3 linked regions of the Arabidopsis thaliana genome follow. The protein of the gene in region 2 interacts with the protein of the main gene of each other region in a pairwise test. Each region holds a gene or a part of one and is shown on either strand. Other genes may lie near its edges.

Region 1 (4,530 bases), on a different chromosome or scaffold from region 2:
AACTCAAGGGCAGACGTAGGAGAAAGGGATTGATGCAATCGTAAATTGACAAAAGAATTAAAAAGCCAAAGATCACCTGCAGTTCAAATTCTTTATTATTTTCATTAACCACTCAATAAATTACGTGTTTTTAATTAATTTTACCTAGAAAAAAATATTGTTGACATTATTTGCCTCGACAAAGCTTCACCCAAAATCCAGTCCCTAGTACTTCACATGATAACACGATTTACTCGAGTCAAAATCCGACGTATAAGACTACAAATATAGACCATCAACCATTTGACTAAAGACACCTTTTCTTATATAGAAAATATAAAATTAAAATAAAGATATTAATATGCATATTTTTAACTACAACATCACATATATATTTAGAATATTGTTTTTGATTATATTTTACATTAAAAGAGTAGAATATTGAGGATACTAATTTGACATTCTTCACGGCATATAACATCTAGAAGTTGTAAGGCACATACATACATAGCTTAATTACAATGTGTATTATTATTTACCATGTTTAATTTCAGATTTGTATTTAAAAATTAATTTTTTTTTAATAATTACTTATCAACCTAATATCCTATATGTTTGGGCTGTAGTGAATTTGCAGCCCAATTTGGAGATTTTAAACCCTTAATTTATCTTACAAGACTAGACAACATTTCAACAATAACAACTAAGTTACCAGTTTTACAAGAAAAAGAGAGAGGTTATTTCCCTATAATTATGACTAAAAGAATGTAACTACACGTATAAGTTCCTTTTGTAACACATGTAAATGTAATATAGCAAATGTAAGGAGTACACCACGAATCAGGAAACTTTTGTTTGGCCATTTGTACCATATTACTTGCACATTTGTGGAAATGAGTGTGTGACTATATCTGCATGCGTAAATCAAACACATGTACCTTAAATGATGTAAAACAGTAGATCTATCAATTGTACACATATATATGGATACATCGATGGGTCATTATAGCTCTGAAGTTGATTAGTCGGGCCAAAAATACACCTGATCATCATGATATTCATATATGTATAGATATATAGAGCACATATCACGAAACTCATCTATGTACATATATTTATATGTTTGTGTGAAAAAATAATTCAAAAGATTTATTCATGCATGCAAGTGTCCATCAAAGTAGTACGAATGAATAATTATGAAGGGTTCTTTTGGCACTTTACTAAATGTAATAATGAAAAACAACATTGGTAAGTCAACTCGTGATGATACATTTTTGGTTAATAGAATTTCACAAAAATTGAGTTTTGTTTTTTTGTCACTTTATAATCAGACAGTTCCATATAGTTCACTGGTCCGTCCAATGCAATCTTCTCTTCCAACATGTTTTCTTCCTTTTATCCGTGTAATATCAACACCACTTGGGACTGTTTTTTTTTTCTTTTTCCTTTTTACTTTTGAAATTCATGATGAAAACTAACTAGCAAGTTGATGTGCATATGTATGAAAATACATTTGGACGAATGATCAAATCAAGAAACCTGCTGATAATTTTAGTTAATGACTTTTTTTTTTGTCAACTCATTACAAAGTTCTGGATTTTAAATATTTGCATTTCTCTTGATATTAATGATTCAATTTTGATTGTTTGGAGTTTGGACCATGCGTATGCTGACAACCAAGTTACTCTGGAATTACTCTGGATTTTGGTAGGGATATTCCAGACTAACCCCAAGTTATGAAATAAAAGACATTGAAATCCTCATAAAGAAGGGATAAATAAAGTTTATCTTTTGAACAGTTAATTTGTTTTAACGTAATTTTATCAAACGAAGCGCGAGCTAAAATAAAATGAATAATTGGAAATCTAATTTTTTCAAACACGAACAATAAATATGCATGCATGTCAATCATGTTGACTTCTCCATACCCATAGCTTTAGAGACAAAATGAAATAAATAATTGGTTCTCCAGATAATAATATATAATAATAATTGATAGGGTGTGTCCAAATCCAAGTCTCTTATTAAAAGGGCACATATTCAACTACTCCTCCATAAACACAAAAAGTCCATCCTAAAAAAAGCAAGTAAGAGATAACAATTTCTCTCTTTTTCTTTTCTCTTCTTCAAACTTCAATTCACTAACGAGAGAAATGGGAAGAGCTCCGTGTTGCGACAAGACAAAAGTGAAGCGAGGGCCTTGGTCGCCTGAAGAAGACTCTAAACTTAGAGATTACATTGAAAAGTATGGTAATGGTGGAAATTGGATCTCTTTCCCCCTCAAAGCCGGTAAGTTCATACACATGTTCTTAATCCTAGATAACCTTTTCGAGCTTCTAAGCCCAAATAAGAGCTTATGCCATTCTTTGTTGTGGTTTAAGGTTTGAGGAGATGTGGGAAGAGTTGTAGACTGAGGTGGCTAAACTATTTGAGACCAAACATAAAGCATGGTGACTTCTCTGAGGAAGAAGACAGGATCATTTTTAGTCTCTTCGCTGCCATAGGAAGCAGGTTCTCTAATTAATTCCTTTTGAAATCATCTTTAATCATATAAGATCCTTACAAAAAATGTAGAAATGAAATCATTTTTTCGCCCACTTGCCTGTGAAGGCCCTTTCATAGTTATCTGCTTAGATAGGTTTAAAGAAAATATTAATTCACACTCTCCTTCAATTAATCTTATAATAGTAACAAAATTTCTCCTAAATCTAATTTTGAATTTATGTGTTATTTTGAAGTAATGATCAAAATATTTCCAAACGTGCTTAATTTCTTCATAAATCTAGTCAAAATCACGAGCTACATTGATTCCATGATTTAGTCAAAACTACGAGCAACTTTAATTCATCAAGAGTGCTATACTTTTCTCCAATATTAGCTATTAATATACATCAATTGAAACTTGTAGGTGGTCAATAATAGCAGCTCATCTACCGGGACGAACAGACAACGACATAAAAAACTATTGGAACACAAAGCTAAGGAAGAAACTCTTGTCTTCTTCCTCTGATTCATCATCATCAGCCATGGCTTCTCCTTATCTAAACCCTATTTCTCAGGATGTGAAAAGACCAACCTCACCAACAACAATCCCATCTTCTTCTTACAATCCGTATGCTGAAAACCCTAATCAATACCCAACAAAATCCCTCATCTCCAGCATCAATGGCTTCGAAGCTGGTGACAAACAGATAATTTCCTATATTAACCCTAATTATCCTCAAGATCTCTATCTCTCGGACAGCAACAACAACACCTCGAACGCAAATGGTTTCTTGCTCAACCACAATATGTGTGATCAGTACAAGAACCACACCAGTTTTTCTTCAGACGTCAATGGGATAAGATCAGAGATTATGATGAAGCAAGAAGAGATAATGATGATGATGATGATAGACCACCACATTGACCAGAGGACAAAAGGGTACAATGGGGAATTCACACAAGGGTATTATAATTACTACAATGGGCATGGGGATTTGAAGCAAATGATTAGTGGAACAGGCACTAATTCTAACATAAACATGGGTGGTTCAGGTTCATCTTCTAGTTCGATAAGCAACCTAGCTGAGAACAAAAGCAGTGGTAGCCTCCTACTAGAATACAAATGCTTGCCCTATTTCTACTCCTAGTTCTTCTAGACTCTCTTGTCTTCTTATATAAATATATCTTGGACTGACTGTTAGTAATATCAAAGATTTGATGGGGTATGGGAGGAGAGAGAATGAGATAGAGAGCGACTATGATCAGTTTTATGGGATTTTGTATTTTTTTTTTGTTTATTTATCTCTCTTTATTGGATTTCTAGTTAAGAAGAGACAATGTTAATGGGACTATGGGAGATTTGATTTGATGAAACCCAAAAGGATGTAAGAGTAGATCTTCGTTTTGGTCGAGAAGAGTAGATCATTTCAGCTTTCAGATAAAACTAAGAACAAAGTATGTGATCTATACATACGAACGACTATACACACACACACGCCCACACACATATATAGCATTTTATTGTTTCTATAATTAGATGAGACTATTACCATTATATGTGTATGCTATATATAGCAAACAAAATCGTATATACACGCACTTTTTTAGTTAAAGATATATACGCACTTGCAAGACATATATATGTTTTATTGTTAACAACACATATGCTAAAGAACTAAACTTCCAAACTGAAATGTCCGATAGATAAATAATTTGTAGCGAATGATCTTACTATTTTATATATAATGTTTTAACATAAAACCTATGAAAGATATATTTTATTTAATCCTAATTGTATATTTAGAGTCAATATAGTTAAATTGTTGAAAGTAAACCTGGGCAAAAAAACCGAACCCAATATCCAAACTGATACTCGAACAAAAAAACCGGGTTGAGAAGATCTAGAGTTGAAAATTATTTTACTGAATAGAGTTTTAGTAAACATGTGGGTATCGGGCCAGTCCGTAAATTATCCATTACCCAAACATATAATTTTAATATACAAAATATTAATTATATTTAATTTTACTATAATCTAATATCTAAACTTATAATTATAAATCTAAA
Region 2 (4,621 bases):
TTAAAATCTCTTATAAATCTCTTAAAATACTTTTAAAATCTCTTGTAAATTTTTTAAAACCCTTTTAAAATCCCTTGTAAATATTTTAAAACCCTTTTAAAATCTCTTGAAAATATATTTTTTCCCAAAACAATTTTACAAGGATTTGCATAATCATTTTTTTGGCGGGATTTTTCTTTTTGGTGGGAAAAAAGTTTGCCAGAAAATTTTTTTGGCGAGAAAAATAAATTTTTGGTGCAAAAATTTGGTGGGAAAATTTCAGTTTCTAATTACATGTTCCTATTAGATGAGGATAATTTGGTCATTCTGTTCAAGGGAAATGGTATTTTTAAAAAAGGACAACATAAAAAGATATTGTTGCAAAAGGGTAGTAAAAAAAGAGTAGTTTTGCAAATCTCCCAAAATTCTGTAAGGGTTTAGGTTTAATATTATTTAATTATAATTATATTGCTTCCTTTTTTATAAGTTTAAATTTAATATTTGTTATTTTCGTTTTTTATTTTAAATTTTAAAATGGAAAGTAATTATTATTTTTAAAAATGTTAATTAATTAGATGTTAAATATGTTAATTATTGATGTGACAGCTTCCGATTAGTTGTTTTAAAAAATGTTAAATAATTAAATGCTAAATATGTTAATTATTGATGTGGCAGCTTTCGATTGGTCGTTCTAAATCCTATGTGGACGGCTTTAGAAGCAAATAGCCTCAACTTTTATATAGTATAGATTTTCAGTTTTTGGTGTTCAATTTTTCGATCACCGGTTTTGATGAGATTGAAAAACTCTGTGGGAATTTTTTATGGCCGGGCAACCCGAACACCACACGAGTTGTAAAAGTGCTTTCAAATTATTTTATTTATTTTATAAACATTTAAATCTTAAAAATAATATATGAGAATTAAAATTAATAAATAAAATTTTAACCATAAATTAAAAACGAAAGTAACAAAAAAAATTTAAAAAATGAAGTAATTTTTTTTTAAGATTGTAATATTTTTTTTAATAGGATGGTTTTTTATTCTTTACTTTTTTTCACCAGCGACCATTTTATTAAGTTAGGAGAACTAATCCGGAGTCGATGTACTTACATGAAAAAGAAAAAAAACTTCGTGTTCTTATATTTTTTGTTAGGCAATCAACACAGACATTGTTACAACAGAGAATAACTCTAATATAAAATAAAGACAAAAAATTTCAAAAGCTTTTTTAAAATATTGTAATTCTTCAAAAGCTTTTAAAATGTTGTAATTCTACAAAGCAGCTCAACTAAATAAAAGTTGCATTTTGCAGACATACGAAGTCGCTAATTTTTCACATATCGGAATTGGACCGAGAAGGTGGAAACTACGCGCCTCCATCGAGAGTGGTGTAAACCATAATCTATTACATAAAAAAAAAGATAACAAAAGAGACGTTAAAGCAATGTTTCTCTGTTACGCGCTGACGCATCTCTAACCTTTTTAGGTTCTGTACTATCTTTATCTTTTAGTCAAGTGTTAGAAAAGTATCTTAATCAGACGGTTAGGGTTCTTTATTATTACTAGCCGCAATTTTTTTATTGAAACAAATAAATAAAAAAATAACCCAAGAACAACAACAATCTGGTCTGCTGATGTATTAATTAAAGAAAAAAATAAAACAGAGCAAGAAACAAAAAAAAAAATGTAAAGAAAGAGAAAAAAAGCTTTCGTAGTGTCTATTGAAACCAGAGAAAAGCCAAAGGGGATGCAACCAACATCCGTCGGTAGTAGCGGCGGTGGTGACGACGGAGGAGGCAGAGGAGGAGGAGGAGGGCTAAGTAGAAGTGGACTATCTCGGATCCGTTCAGCTCCAGCGACTTGGCTTGAAGCTTTACTTGAGGAAGATGAAGAAGAGTCTTTGAAACCTAATCTTGGTCTCACCGATTTGCTTACCGGGAACTCGAACGATTTACCGACAAGTCGCGGCTCGTTCGAGTTCCCGATTCCTGTTGAGCAAGGGTTGTATCAACAAGGTGGGTTTCACCGACAGAATAGTACTCCGGCGGATTTTCTTAGTGGTTCTGATGGATTTATCCAAAGCTTTGGGATTCAGGCGAATTACGATTACTTATCGGGGAATATCGATGTTTCTCCGGGAAGTAAGCGGTCTAGAGAAATGGAAGCACTCTTCTCTTCTCCTGAGTTTACTTCTCAAATGGTAAACCAAAATTAGTTCTTAAATTAGGGTTTTCTTATACTTGCCAAAAATAGGATGAACTTAACTGACTTATTACTTGTTTTAGTTAATTTGCTGACCAAGTTCTCGAGATTGAAAAGACCAGTCTTGTCTTAAAATTGACAACTTGTGTTTTTCTGAACCAAACTAAGCAAGTTGCAGTTTCTATTTTAACTCAAAAAAAAAAAAATGGCAGTTTTTGTTGTTGGCTCTGTGGCTTTAATGTGTCAATGTGAACATTAAAGAATGCTCCTATGGGTAAAGTGTTTAGAAGACCATAAGTCCACATGATGATACATACTTCGGTGGTTAATGTGTACAAATGTATTGATTCTCCACACCTTTTGGTACATTGGTCTACTTAGTATTAAGTAACTACACTTGATCAAAATTTTGGGAACATATGTGTTACCTATGTGTTGATTAAGGTATTAGTGCTGATTTGCGCTTTTTGGAATTTTTTTCTGTAAGTAGAAAGGAGAGCAAAGCAGCGGTCAAGTTCCTACCGGAGTATCAAGCATGTCGGATATGAACATGGAGAACCTTATGGAGGACTCTGTTGCTTTTAGGGTTCGGGCTAAACGTGGTTGCGCAACTCATCCCCGCAGCATTGCCGAGAGGGTAAACAACATTCAATCTTTATTTTCAATGTTTTGGAAGTGTAGTGATCAAGGTTCTCTTAACTTTATACATTGAAGTTTAGTGATACAACTTATATCTTTACTTTCAATTTACGGATGTTTAATGATGCACTGTATGCTTCATTGAACAGAGGATTGTTCTGTTCTGGTCAGTGTATATTTATCTTTACCTTTCATTGTGTAGGTACGAAGGACGCGGATTAGTGATCGGATAAGGAAGCTACAAGAGCTTGTACCTAACATGGACAAGGTAATATAATTTTCAGCTTAGGTATAATCTGATGACCTCGGTTACACAATTATATTGACTAGAAATAGGTCAAAGATTATCTATGCTTAAATCAAGTGTAGAAGTTAGAGGTCAAATTAAATATGACTGTTAATGGTTGTGATGCAACTTCAGAGACACGGTTCTCAGCTCTGTAACTAAGTAATTCACAAACTGTGGAATGGATCTTGATATGGACTTGAATTGTTGTCACCTCGATCAAATAAGTATGAACTTGGTTTCCTCTCTATAGATTATGAACAAACTGAGGAAAACTTTTGGTTTTGGTATATATGGAGATTTGGAATCTAGGCTTTGAGTATATCGGTTAACTTTTTTGTCTTTGTTGCAGCAAACCAACACTGCAGACATGTTAGAAGAAGCAGTAGAATACGTGAAAGTTCTTCAAAGGCAGATCCAGGTAAATTATCTAAGTTAATATATATACACACAAAACCTTTTAGAGGAACCCAATAGATGAATTAAAAATGATTAGTCAACAGTATATAGTAAAAAGAGTTATGAGTTGGTTTATTTTGGTGTGGATAATATAGGAGTTAACAGAAGAACAGAAGAGGTGCACATGCATACCTAAGGAAGAACAATAAGGTTTGCTCCTGATTTGTTTTATATTTGCTTAACGGCAATGATCTGATCGAAAAATTCGAAAGATGATCTTAGCTTGAATTTAGATGGATGTCATGTTGAAAAGTATATTATTTGATAAATGGATGTAGGTGTAATATAAAATTTTTGTACAATAATGAAGAAAGTTAAAAAGAATTAATGAAAACATATATTCTTTATGATATTAGTGAAATGACTTTGATTTCATGTTGTTTGATTATAGTAAAGTATTTTCAAGATGTGTATTACAGTGTTTTTAAAACTCATTCATACAGTTACAGCTAACATACTAGATTACTAACCATCATGGAATAAGATTGCTTAGTGGTGCAACCAATCCGCAACGAGTTTGCAAACGAGGACAGAATTGCTCGATGTTTTGTCGAACCGGCAAGATAATCGGGTCTTTGTTTATTGCAGTGTAGATTAAATCTTATAGCGAAAAAGGGTTAATCATCTTACTAAATCCGCTGCAATCAGTTTCGAAATAAATCATTCCGCATACCGCGCTACCAAAAGTAGTGTAGTGTCAGGAGTTCTTAGTGTAAAGACATGAAATATATTTGAAATCCTTTCAAACCAATTAGATGAATCTGGTTGAAGCCATCAAATTAAAACCAAACTGGCTGCACATTTTTGTTTTGGTTTTCCATGAACCATCAACTTGAAAACAAAGAACAAGGGAGTTCAAAACATAGAAGGGATGATAAGCTCTGGAACGACTCCCATGCCTTCACCAATGTACTCTGCTACACCTAATCTTGGACTCGCATCCACGCTTTGAGTTCATCTCGCAATCACAAAATATTTTGTCAAGGATCTGGTTTCTACATATTTAGTATTGTTATCGTTCCTCGCTTTCGAGTTATACCAAGCTAACCAAGGGTA
Region 3 (3,560 bases), on a different chromosome or scaffold from region 2:
CTACTTGGTCCTAAACAGTAAACACACAAAAAAAAACAAGATTTTACCAAAACACATATCAATAACAACTTAAACTTAGTAGGATGGGAAAATTTTAGAGCTTACGAATCTAATAATGGTTTAGGGTGGACACGGTAGACCGTTTCAATCCCTCGAAGGTAGCGAACGGCAGCTTGAAAAGTAATGGGGTCAGTGTGAGAATTAGCATCCTTGGCCTCGAAGGTGATGTAGAAAATGAATCCGGCTCCATATTTCCGATTAGCCTTGACAGCTCTCACAAGTTCAAGATTTTCCAGCTTATCATCATTGTATTTCTGAAGAGCAATCTTGGATAATCTATGAACCAAATCTCCGTCGGTTTCGGGTTTATGAGCAACGTCACTATCCTCGAAGATAACAGGATAGCAAAACACAAGGCGTCTTTGTTTCGTGGTGTCAAAGTCGTAATACTACAGACAACAATCACATTCATGAGAGAAGCCGACATAATGCTTTTGAAATCACAGACAAAATCTCAATTCGAAAAAGTAAGAAGCGAAGGAGAGATTGGTGGATCATTACAACTACATACCCCGCTTCTTTGGTATTCTTCTTCGACCAATCGTTCATCTTCCGAATCGAAACTACACGTCGACTCGCTGTACGAAGACATCTCTTCGCAATCCTCCTCCTCCTCCTCCTCCAGCTTCTGACGCTTCAGATCAGGCTCCTCAGATTTCTTATCGACCACCACCTGCGGATCCATAACTATGGCAGATTAGATGAAACCCTAATTCTCTGTTTCTTCTATCATTCAAGATAAAAAAAAGGTCCCTCTTCTATTTATAGTGTGCACAACAAACAAAAAACAAAAAGAAAAAAAGTGACTAAGAAAATATCAAGCCTCCAAGAGAGAAAATTCGTGTAGAGACACTAAACTAGCTAGTAGATGATTATTGTAAAACCTTATCATCATTGTGGTTGTTAAAATTAATCTAGATCGGTTAAATTTGGTTAAAAAATACTCACTAGTTTTCAAAGTTAAAAATCCAAATCCGGAAAATTAAAAGTCAAATCAAATCATAACTATTCCTTCCTTTCGTATAATCAAGTAGACGAAATCTCATCAAAATTAAATTTCTGAAGTTTTAAATTAGGAATCTCAGATGTCTTATTTGCCCATCACGGAAGCAGATGTGTAACCCTAATTGGTCGTGATCGTGGTGATTGCAAAAGCCTAATTGTTGTACATCATTAAACGTACGTTTTGTATTCTTTCCATTTACTGTGTACCTTTTTCTGCTTCTCAAAACTTGCTAAATTTTTACATAGAGAAATATTTTTGTTAATTTTTCTTTTGTTTTTAGTTGACTTATTGGAAAACAAATAATAATGAAGAAATAAAAAAAATACTCAACCACATGAGATGAGAAACGTTTTGTTAATGAATGATAAAATTAGGGTAAACATAAAACCCTAATAAGTTACTTGATGATATTTTCCAGCGGCTCTCTCACGTATTTCCATTTTTTATCCAATCAGATATATCAAGTAATTAATGAACCGACGAAACATGGAAATTCTTTAATTTCAATACTTTCCATAATTTTCTCTCATAGCTAAATTATAGAAACTACAACAAATAGAAAATGGAAAATGATAACTTGATAAATACTCAAGCACCGCAAGAAACAACAAGATTAAGAAACACAATTTGCTCCCACGATTTGCTCTCTTTATATAGTTCTCTCTCTGTTCCTCATATTTCTTCATCGTTTTGTTTCGCTTCTCTTTCTCTGTCTCTCGTATCTTTCTACTACTCTGTTTCTTGAATTCTAATGAACAACATCGACGACGCAAAGACGGAGACTTCAGTGTCTTCAGGTTCAAGCGACTCTTTCTTGCCTCTCAAGAAACGCATGAGACTTGATGACGAACCAGAAAACGCCCTAGTGGTTTCGTCTTCACCAAAGACGGTTGTGGCTTCTGGCAATGTCAAGTACAAAGGAGTCGTTCAGCAACAGAACGGTCATTGGGGTGCCCAGATTTACGCAGACCACAAAAGGATTTGGCTTGGAACTTTCAAATCCGCTGATGAAGCCGCCACGGCTTACGATAGTGCATCTATCAAACTCCGAAGCTTTGACGCTAACTCGCACCGGAACTTCCCTTGGTCTACAATCACTCTCAACGAACCAGACTTTCAAAATTGCTACACAACAGAGACTGTGTTGAACATGATCAGAGACGGTTCGTACCAACACAAATTCAGAGATTTTCTCAGAATCAGATCTCAGATTGTTGCGAGTATCAACATCGGGGGACCAAAACAAGCCCGAGGAGAAGTGAATCAAGAATCAGACAAGTGTTTTTCTTGCACACAGCTTTTTCAGAAGGAATTGACACCGAGCGATGTAGGGAAACTAAATAGGCTTGTGATACCTAAAAAGTATGCAGTGAAGTATATGCCTTTCATAAGCGCTGATCAAAGCGAGAAAGAAGAGGGTGAAATAGTAGGATCTGTGGAAGATGTGGAGGTTGTGTTTTACGACAGAGCAATGAGACAATGGAAGTTTAGGTATTGTTACTGGAAAAGTAGCCAGAGCTTTGTCTTCACCAGAGGATGGAATAGTTTCGTGAAGGAGAAGAATCTCAAGGAGAAGGATGTTATTGCCTTCTACACTTGCGATGTCCCGAACAATGTGAAGACATTAGAAGGTCAAAGAAAGAACTTCTTGATGATCGATGTTCATTGCTTTTCAGACAACGGTTCCGTGGTAGCTGAGGAAGTAAGTATGACGGTTCATGACAGTTCAGTGCAAGTAAAGAAAACAGAAAACTTGGTTAGCTCCATGTTAGAAGATAAAGAAACCAAATCAGAGGAGAACAAAGGAGGGTTTATGCTGTTTGGTGTAAGGATCGAATGTCCTTAGGGAATTTTTCTTTAAAAGTTTCTTACTTCAACTAGAACTTGTTTTACTTGTACCTCATGAATTTTTATTAACAAAATTGTTTTACTTAACTAGAGATTGGTTTACTAAATGATTTTCTCAATGCTTCGTTACTGGTTTAGATTTCGATAACCATTATCAAAGTGAGCTACTCGCAATGCATAACCACCAAGATTGCTAGTTTACTCATGACAAGCTCAGAAGCTTTTGGCCTTATAAGAAGAAAGACTTAACCAAAAAATCTTATCAATAGTATTTGTTAACTGGTCAATTAGTTTTTATCAATTTCTCAAGAATAAAAGAGTAAAAAATGAAAAGAAAAAAAAAATGTCACAAATAAAACTTACTAAAGATTATTTATGAACTTAATAAATTTGAATAATTTTATAAAAATAAATGTAAAATCAACTGAAAATTTATTTTAGAGAAATTCTATTTAACAACATCCAACAAAAAGTAAAAAAGATTATAATATTTTTCTTTGTTCCAACGCAAAATTACATTTTTTTGTTTTTGAACATAATTACGATTTTTATTTAGTTCTTTTTTTTTGAATTCCAAAAATCAGATCTCTTGCCCAACGGTGAGTTCTTCTTATCTAACTTTCCTTTTCATTCACATTGGGTTTTG

The links.
Region 1: the proteins of FBH2 (region 2) and MYB37 interact in a two-hybrid assay, tested with the Arabidopsis thaliana proteins (one large-scale study listed by BioGRID).
Region 3: the proteins of FBH2 (region 2) and AT1G50680 interact in a two-hybrid assay, tested with the Arabidopsis thaliana proteins (one large-scale study listed by BioGRID).

Annotation. Positions count from the first base shown.
Region 1 is NC_003076.8:7,694,102-7,698,631, forward strand, and holds MYB37 (myb domain protein 37), read left to right. Parts: upstream 1-2,033; 5' UTR 2,034-2,132; coding exon 2,133-2,268; intron 2,269-2,360; coding exon 2,361-2,490; intron 2,491-2,887; coding exon 2,888-3,611; 3' UTR 3,612-3,921; downstream 3,922-4,530. UniProt on the Arabidopsis thaliana protein: Transcription activator of genes involved in the regulation of meristematic competence, such as CUC2.
Region 2 is NC_003075.7:5,845,787-5,850,407, forward strand, and holds FBH2 (basic helix-loop-helix (bHLH) DNA-binding superfamily protein), read left to right. Parts: upstream 1-1,525; 5' UTR 1,526-1,726; coding exon 1,727-2,179; intron 2,180-2,671; coding exon 2,672-2,818; intron 2,819-3,022; coding exon 3,023-3,088; intron 3,089-3,458; coding exon 3,459-3,527; intron 3,528-3,660; coding exon 3,661-3,714; 3' UTR 3,715-3,977; downstream 3,978-4,621.
Region 3 is NC_003070.9:18,776,953-18,780,512, reverse strand, and holds AT1G50680 (AP2/B3 transcription factor family protein), read left to right. Parts: upstream 1-1,898; coding exon 1,899-2,912; downstream 2,913-3,560. Other genes in the region: AT1G50690 (Cystatin/monellin superfamily protein), read right to left, coding at 1-10, 106-449, 572-745.